Linked DNA regions of Arabidopsis thaliana. The protein of the gene in region 2 interacts with the protein of the main gene of each other region in a pairwise test. Each region holds a gene or a part of one and is shown on either strand. Other genes may lie near its edges. The genes, in order: AT1G21940 and AT4G26770.

Region 1 (4,316 bases), on a different chromosome or scaffold from region 2:
TTTTCATGATTACAACTGATTCATTGACATTGTCATCTCCACCAAGAAATTGCAACACACGAAGCAATAGAATTTAATACGATAATATATCTGAAACTGTTACGAGCAATGTATATGAATCGATAAATCTTGGACTCCAATATCAAATGGTATTCAAAAACTAAAAAGGTTCAAAGTGAAAACTTTTATCAACAAACTCTTGTTCAAACTAATGAAACAAAGAAAGATTATTATAACGATAAACGATGAATCTCACTAAAACGACGGCGTTCCAAGTCGAAAGCAGAGGGAATGTTGAAAGTTAAACTTGATTTTGAATAAGTTTAATTATTGGATCAATTATCCAATAATTAATTATGGCCAAATCCAAGTTCTAGAGTTTTCTCTAGAAATATCATCATTTCCACCTCCTTAAAAGATTCTAGAAATTTTCTAGAATCATCTTCCACCTCCTTAAACATAAAAATCTAGATACTCTAATAGAATAATCTAGATAATTTGAATAATGTAATCTAAATCTTATGTAAGAACTCTCTAGACTTAGGATTAAAATATTTTAGATATTTTGTAGTTTGGAGGCTATAAATACCTCCTCCCCCTCTCAAATGTTGCAATGTTGTGAAGTTATCTTCAAGTTTAAAGCAAAGTAATAAAAGTTATATTTCCTAAAAAACTCTCTCAAAACACTTAAACACTTTCTCCATTACCTCTAAAAGAATTTTACTCTAACAGGGAAGATTCCGGCGAACACAAACTCATCCGACGACGAAGAACCGAAGATAAGCGGAGAAGCAGAGCGAAATCGCTAGGCAGATAGAACCCAACGTAAGTTTCATGTCCGTCTCTTCTCGTAGTCTACGCATCACCACCGGCGCAAACGTGAGTCCAAGCATCGATAAACCGATTCTGATAATCACCACCATAAAGCACATATCGGCCATCTTGTTCAGCTCTGATGCACAGTATAACGCCACGTGTCCGTTCTTCGTCGTCTCCGTTAGATATGAACCGTCGAAACCAGAAGCTCGTTTGCAGATTCCGGTGAAAATGGCGAGCGAAACTGCAAGAAAGAAACGATCGTTTACACGACGAGTTTCTTCTCTTCTCTCACGACCTCCATCTTCGTCATCCATTGCGATCTCGTAGTCTTGCAGGAGAAAATGGAGATTTTGAAACGATGATTGATGAAAAAATCAGAATCCGGGAAAAAGTGAGAAAATTTGTCTCTGAGAGGTTTTGGAGTTTGTTAAAGAGGGAAAGAAGAAGGGTTTATAACCTAACCATGGTTAAAATTTTAACCATGGACCATAGTTTATTTTTTAACCTTGCTTTTTCTCTAACCATGGTTTATAATCCGTACGTGTTGAAAAAGTTTCAAGGAGAGAGGTGATGACTGATGATATTGAGTGGACGAAGGACTTACCTCTTTTGGTCACTGTTAAAAATTGGTTTCTTGAATTACTGGTTACAAAATTTCGTTCGTTGCTGAACCGGAAATTGACAATTTTGGTTACACAGAATTGGGACCAAAAATATCTGCATGGTTTAGTATTTGATCATATAACTACCTATAAAAAGACTAGAAATATTTTATATTGTTAGATAATTGTGAAATTTTGAACAAAAAAAAATGTTAAGGGTTAAATATGGTCTTTTTTACTAAGTTTTATTCATCGGTTTTTCTAAAATGTTACTACTTTGGGTAAACAAAAGTTAAAGCAGTTGCCTGATTACGACACGTTGAACAATGGATTGATCTTATGTAAATTTAATTGATAAAAAAACAGTTCATGACTGCATTTTGCAGCTAATTCCTTAAACATTTTGAGCTAAAATTTGAAACTATCATCAAGAACATGAAGTAATTAGTCTTAATCCGATATCATAAACGGTTCACACACACATCGATTTCTTTGTAAAACTAATTATTGTATTCAGGGATGCGATCCGAAACTTTAACGCATTTTTATCTATGCAAATACAGTATGAAGTGATAAATATTGCAAGTTGTAACTACAATATCAATTAATATTCAGAAAATCTTGTTTAAACCTTTTATTCAAGAAACCAAAATGTTCACAACACAAATCCAAAGAAATAAACGAAAAGCAGATACAGAGCATCCGCGATGGTCTCACTGAACGATCACAGGTCCAAATATTCAAACCTCTAATCAAAGAAACCATAATGTTCAAAACAACAAACCCATCAAAGAAAGAAAAAAACGAAAACTAGATTGTAGATAGAAAGAGAGATGATAAATGTAAGCATCGTCGATGGTCTCACTAAAAGACACAGGTCCATAGTAACGGTGGAAGAAACTCAAGACACACCACTCACCCGGTGACGGAGCAGCGAAGGTACGCTAAGAAAGCAATCGTGAGGACGACAAAAATCAAACCCACGAGCAGCTGCACGTCACACTCTTCTCGTACTTTTCTCATCTGTTCCAGTTCCACCACCATCGGAGCAACAATGATCTTGAGAATCACAAGCATAAAAGCAAGATGCGCCCACAAGTTGAACTCCATCGCCCAAGAATACGCCACGTGTCCGGTCATCGTCGGGTTTGGATCTGAGCCAGCAGCTGCTCTTTTGCAGACTCTTGTGGACAGTTCAAGCAACACTGCGACGACAAAACGACCGTTCAATCTACGAAGCTCTTCACGTCCCTGTCACGATTCTCTTCACGTGGCTCAACAACTCCTTCCATGGCGAGAGATTCTTGCAGGAGAAAAGAAAAACAAGATTTTGAGACGAAGATTGTGAAAATGAAAACAGATTCGGGAGAGAAAATCTATATAATAAGGGTTTTTGGAGTTTATAAGCATAAAATGTTTCTTTTATTTAAATTAACCACGGTTAAAGTTTGACCGTGGACCATGGTTAATTGGTTATAGTAATCGTACGTTTTCTAACGGGACGTGAGTCTTGATGACTGTGTTGAAAGTTAAACTTGATTTTGAATCAAGTTTAATTATTGGATCAATTATCCAATAATTAATTATGGCCAAATTCAAGTTTTAGAATTTTCTCTAGAAATATCATCATTTCCACCTCCTTAAAAGATTCTAGAAATTTTGTAGAATCATCTTCCACCTCCTTAAACATAAAAATCTAGATACTCTAATAGAATAATCTAGATAATTTGAATAATGTAATCTAGATCTTATATAAGAACTCTCTAGACTTACGATTAAAATATTTTAGATATTTTGTAGTTTGGAGGCTATAAATACCTCCTCCTCCTCTCAAATGTTGCAATGTTGTGAAGTTGTCTTCAAGTTTAAAGCAAAGTAATTAAAGTTCTATTTCCAAAAAAACTCTCTCAAAACACTTAAACACTTTCTCCATTACCTCTAAAATAATTTTACTCTAACAAAGTGGTAGCAGAACTTGAAGATCCTAAAGATGGCGAGTAACAATGTTCCCTTCCAAGTCCCGGTGCTCACAAAGAGCAACTATGATAATTGGAGTCTACAAATGAAGGCTATCCTAGGAGCACATGACGTGTGGGAGATAGTCGAGAAAGGTTTCATTGAACCGGAGAATGAAGGTAGTCTTTCTCAAACTCAAAAGGATGGTTTGAGAGACTCAAGAAAGAGAGACAAGAAAGCTCTCTGTCTAATCTATCAAGGATTAGATGAAGATACGTTCGAGAAGGTCGTTGAAGCTACGTCGGCGAAAGAAGCATGGGAGAAGCTTCGAACCTCTTACAAAGGTGTCGATCAAGTCAAGAAAGTACGTCTTCAAACTCTAAGAGGAGAATTTGAAGCACTACAAATGAAGGAAGGTGAACTCGTCTCCGACTACTTCTCAAGAGTGTTGACGGTTACTAATAACCTTAAAAGAAACGGAGAGAAGCTAGATGATGTGAGAATCATGGAGAAAGTTCTTAGATCATTGGATCTAAAATTTGAGCATATTGTCACCGTCATTGAAGAAACAAAAGATTTAGAAGCTATGACAATAGAGCAACTTCTTGGGTCATTACAAGCTTATGAAGAAAAGAAGAAGAAGAAAGAAGATATCGTCGAACAAGTCCTCAATATGCGAATTACAAAAGAAGAAAACGGCCAAAGTTACCAAAGAAGAGGTGGTGGTGAAGTACGAGGACGAGGTCGTGGTGGATATGGAAATGGACGTGGTTGGAGGCCACATGAAGACAACACAAACCAAAGAGGTGAAAACTCATCAAGAGGTCGTGGGAAAGGACACCCAAAATCAAGATACGATAAATCAAGTGTCAAATGCTACAATTGTGGGAAGTTTGGACATTAGGCTTCTGAATGTAAAGCTCCTAGCAACAAAAAATT
Region 2 (5,229 bases):
TGCTGGAGCAGCTCCACTATTAAAGACCCTTTTAGAAGGAGTGGAGATGACTGAGAAACAGCTTGCTGAGGTAAATATCGAGAAATGTAATTATAAGACCTTAAGTAAGCAATGCAGATGAGACCGGTTAAACATGTGTGCCGCTGCAGGTATTTAAGAAATTTGGTATGGAGAAGTATGATCCTATAAACGAGCCATTTGATCCAAACAGACATAACGCAGTGTTCCAAGTCCCTGATGCTTCTAAGCCAGAAGGCACAGTTGCTCATGTCTTGAAGGTAAATATATAAAGCTTGCTCAATTCTTTGTCTCTTTATTTCATATTGTATAGTCTTAAATACCAATTAGTAATGATGGGTGTCAATATGTGCAGTCTGGATACACGCTGTATGACCGAGTTATAAGACCAGCTGAGGTTGGTGTTACCCAGGGAGGAGAGAACCAAGAAGAAAAGAAAGAGTCTGATGCTTAAGAAGAAGTCAGCTGGTTTTCATAAATTTTGTTACGGTTCTATGTTTCCATTAACATCTTCTCGAGTCTTCGAGTCATAGTTTTCTTTTGTGGTTTGGTTATTCATTAGATGAACAAGATCTCCCATAAGTTGCTGGACATGGCATTTGCAGGGGAAATCCTGCTTCTGTGTCTGTTTTCTCTATCTCCATGCTATAATTGAACGAGGAAAATATCATTTTACATCTCTTCTACTCGCACACTATTACCAAGTCTCTGTTTGATTAGTTAAATCAGATACAAATCAAGGTTTTACATGGTCTGATACAACCAGAAACTAACCATAGAGAAAGAAGCTGAAAACAGAGTCACAAAACTTGCACTCACTATTTAAAACCTCCCTTGCAACTTATGTTGAAGAATGTCTCCGAGCTTTTCATAAAGCATTTTCTGCTCCTCGTGTCCCAGGCTCCTCGATATCTGCAGGTATAATACAATCAATTATTTACAATGCCTCCGTATTCTTGGCTTATATGATGATTCTTACCTGGTCTAGGATCATCTCGACACTGTAGTCCCGATTAACAATGAAAGATTGGATGTAGATGTATGCGAAAACCGCCATAACCATCTGCATTTAGGCAACAAGATTCGTTTAAAACGATGCAAAGATCATATTGCACTTTTCGACGTTAGTGACTCTTACTTGGCAATCCATTCTGTCAGTAAATCCTCCATGTCCTGGTATGCTGTCTCCGAAATCCTGTCAAAGCGACATAAACTAGTAAATATTTGTTCTTGGATCTGTAGATACAAAACCTTTTAATGTTTGAAAAATGTGTTAACCTTGATCTTGAAAGCTCTTTTGAAACCGCTTGCGAAGAAGCCACCAAAAGGCGCCATAATGGATGCGAATAGACCGAGAGAAAAAGCATGCCATTGGACAGGCAGGGTCGAGATCCCTTTCCATGGAGACTGTTAAGCAAAGTTCACAACGGAGCTCAGTTTCAAAACAAGACAACATCATCGGCTGGTTTTCACGAGAGGACAGTTAATTGCTTACAAATGGAGTAATCCAAGAGGGAAATGGGTAATACTCTGGCCTGAAGAGAGGGCCTGGATCACAATGAAGCCAACCAGTTGATAAATCCTGCAAAAGATATGCAACACAAGGATGAAGTAAAGGCCGAGACAAAATATTGTGATGGAGATATCACTTTTTGTTACCTTCCTTGGACATGTAAGCCATTGGAACTGGCCTAAGACATTAGCAAACTGTTGTACGAAGCAGATAATAATCTATCAGTCTTGAGACCAAAAGAAAGAGTTACGAACGAATGAATAAATGATAGAAGAAGGTTATTACAATAAATGCAGAGATTATAGTTGCAACTGATGCTCCGATGAAACCTTCCCATGTTTTCTTTGGAGACAACTTGATGAGCGGAGTTTTCCCGAAATAGAAACCGAAGAAGTAAGCTGCTACATCGTTCATAGCAATCAGTGCTGCTGGTAGAAGAAACCTGCATATTTAAAAGAAATTAGCACTCGGGAAAACTATTATGCTTCAGTGGATATATATAAGAGTCCATTGTACCAGAAGATCCCTTCAAAAATATTGGCGACGGTGAAAGAAGATTGAGTAAAGACAACGATAAGGATCATATGTGTCCAAGCGTATTGCCCAAACTGATACTTATACATCTTATTCTTCAATGTAAGGATAAACCATATGAGACCTGAATCCAACTTAAGCTGTTAATAAATCAAGAAAGAGAGTATTGTTTTTGTGAAGAAAAAAGAAACAGACAAACCTGCGATGTACAAGAAGTAGCAAATAACCATCTGGTACTTGATAAGACCACTCACAAGCTTGTATATGAATCTATCTGAAGAAACCGTGTTGACTAGCTGCTGTTGAATGATGCGTCCATAGACAAACAACATAGCCGTGAAGAAGAAGTGCCAATTCAAGAGCCAGAAACCGGGTAAGCGACGTTCTTCATGAGCTCTTCTGCGAAGAAAGAAGAGCTCTTTGGCCATGAATATCTGTATAACCACAACCATAGCCCAAATGTAGAGATGACCCATGTAGATTATAAACACAACTCCACCGAGCATCCAGAGAGATGAGCATGTCCTTATCCACATTGATCTGTACTTGTTCTTATCACCAAGTAACAAATTGCTTACTCTGCTTACATTGCTTCTGTTCACCTCAGCTAAATTCTGATCAATATTGAAAAAGACAATCAAATTTTGGATTCAACCGGAAAAGAGAGTATGACATTGTATAGATACCTCGCTTGATCGCCTGCGGTGTCGAATGCGAGCTGTTGGAGAGCTAGGAGTATAATTGTAATCCCTTGGTGAATTAGGAATGTTGGGATAATGGTTATCTCTCTGGTTATTAGTATTCATTCGAGACGTTGGTGTAGTAGGGTAACTAGTATCCCTTAGCTTTCTAATCCGTGGAGAATTTGGACTGAGATCTTTCTCCATTGCCATTGAGATCCCTAGGAAATGCTCTCAGTTCCTGGATTGAGTTCTTGAAATTCAGTTAATCATGATGATCTGGGTTTCTTTATACATCCGAGGAAATGAATTTGGGGTTGATCTATAATTTCAAAATGTCAACCATAACTCGAGCTTATACACGTCTTAATGAAACACACACATTGATATCTGATGAGAGATTACTTGTGTAACAAGCATATAATAGAGGATTTAGATTTGAATGTGTAAGCCTAGAAATCTAAATGATTCATCAAAGCAAAACGTGATGATTCACATACAAAGGATAAATTTCATAAGTGAACATTGCAACAAAATGGGATCATGACAAGTAGAAAAAAGAGAATGAACTTACATTAACGAAAACGTGGTGGGATGATGGTGATTGAAAATGCGAAACCCTAATTAATGAAAAGAAACGTGAAGAAAGAAACTCAAAAGGTGAGGGAAGAAGGAGGAGGAGGAAGGTGGTGGATGAGCACTTAGCGGTGAGGTTTCATCAAATCATCGGAAGAGAGAACCAATAAACTATTCATGTCGCTGCTTCATGTTTAAACCCGGAATGAGTGACACGTGTTGTCTTGATCTGTTTGGGCTGGGTCAGATATTTAAGCCCATTAAGGAAAGCCTTTTAACTATTCAGACATGAGCATGAGGAGTCAACGAGGTCTGTGAGATCAGTGGTCAAATCAGTAAATAACGCGAAAAGACAGGGTCTCTCACCTTTTTGCTGTTGTTTTTTCCTCATTAATTATTGAGTTCCGTAAAATGGGTCCCACTTTTCCCATTTCCCAACCTCCATAACCAAAGTTGGAGATTTCTCTGTTTCCTATGCTCTCTCTCTCTCTTACTCTCACAGTGACTATTCGTCGCTTCAGATCTAAAAGAGAGGAAGATAAACCATTTGGATTCAATATCGATTAAGGTAAGAAAGCCATCTTCTACTTGTTGGATTCGATTAGTTTCATTTCAGCTCATTGCCTCTTTACTTCTTCAATGTTGATTTCTTGCTTTGGCTTTGGTTTTATCACCAATGCTGTTTGATTTCTTTGAAGTTCCTTTCGAGCTTTTCTTGAGCTTAGTTTCACATTCTTAGCTTCACTAAGTTCTTTGATGTGTTTTTGTTCCCAAGTTCAAAATGTTGTTTCTGATTCAATTTGGTTTTCTAAAAAAGATTGCAACTTTGGTTTCTTTTAGTGTATAGTTAGTTTGGATCTTCACTAAATATGTTCGTTGTTTCTACTTTTGTAGGAAACCTTTTGACTTCACAAGAATGGCAGTGACAGAAGCAGAAAATCCTCTTCTTGGTGAAATCACTTGTGGCACCTTACTACAGAAGTTGCAGGTAGATTTCGCAACATACACACTTATCCTTTTAATATATGGTTCCACAAACTCAATGTACAAACTTGTTACAGGAAATCTGGGATGAGGTTGGGGAGAGTGATGAAGAACGAGACAAACTGCTTCTACAGATTGAGGAAGAGTGTCTGAATGTTTACAAAAAGAAAGTTGAGCTAGCCGCAAAATCTCGTGCAGAGCTTCTTCAGACTTTGTCAGATGCCACTGTTGAACTTTCCAATCTCACAACTGCTCTCGGGGAAAAAAGCTATATCGACATTGTAAGTAATCTCACGTCTTACAAGTGGTAAAGAGATGAGATGGTTACAGTGTAGTGTGATTCAATGTCTTTGTTTCCATTGCAGCCTGATAAGACTTCAGGAACGATCAAAGAACAACTTTCTGCAATAGCACCTGCGCTTGAACAACTTTGGCAACAGAAAGAGGAAAGGGTCCGGGCATTTTCTGATGTACAATCACAGATTCAGAAGATATGTGAGGAGATCGCTGGCGGATTGAACAATGGACCTCATGTGGTTGATGAGACTGACTTGTCTCTAAAGAGATTAGATGACTTCCAGAGGAAACTCCAAGAGCTCCAGAAAGAGAAGGTAAAATATTAGTTGGGATATGGTTATGTGTGGCCTATGTTCAAACCAGAACTAAAACTGCTTTGTGTTTGAGCAGAGTGATAGGTTACAGAAGGTGCTCGAGTTTGTGAGCACGGTGCATGATCTATGTGCCGTCCTTCGTTTAGATTTCTTAAGCACTGTCACCGAAGTTCATCCGAGCTTAGATGAGGCAAATGGTGTTCAAACCAAGAGCATTAGCAATGAAACACTTGCAAGGTTGGCTAAGACTGTCTTGACTCTTAAAGAAGATAAAATGCAAAGACTTAAGAAGGTTAGTCAAAATCATGGTCTT

Evidence for each region.
Region 1: the proteins of AT4G26770 (region 2) and AT1G21940 interact in a protein complementation assay, tested with the Arabidopsis thaliana proteins (2 studies listed by BioGRID).

What each region holds. Positions count from the first base shown.
Region 1 is NC_003070.9:7,714,415-7,718,730, forward strand, and holds AT1G21940 (uncharacterized protein), read right to left. Parts: upstream 2,562-4,316; coding exon 2,402-2,561; intron 1,148-2,401; coding exon 756-1,147; downstream 1-755.
Region 2 is NC_003075.7:13,480,309-13,485,537, reverse strand, and holds AT4G26770 (Phosphatidate cytidylyltransferase family protein), read right to left. Parts: upstream 3,475-5,229; 5' UTR 3,320-3,474; intron 2,987-3,319; 5' UTR 2,959-2,986; coding exon 2,752-2,958; intron 2,680-2,751; coding exon 2,265-2,679; intron 2,190-2,264; coding exon 2,048-2,189; intron 1,974-2,047; coding exon 1,817-1,973; intron 1,726-1,816; coding exon 1,678-1,725; intron 1,601-1,677; coding exon 1,514-1,600; intron 1,426-1,513; coding exon 1,297-1,425; intron 1,214-1,296; coding exon 1,157-1,213; intron 1,082-1,156; coding exon 998-1,081; intron 931-997; coding exon 841-930; 3' UTR 595-840; downstream 1-594. Other genes in the region: AR192 (Co-chaperone GrpE family protein), read left to right, coding at 1-70, 150-278, 374-472; MAP65-2 (microtubule-associated protein 65-2), read left to right, coding at 4,238-4,309, 4,383-4,586, 4,671-4,916, 4,993-5,208. UniProt on the Arabidopsis thaliana protein: May be involved in the synthesis of minor phospholipids and in modulation of IP3-mediated signal transduction.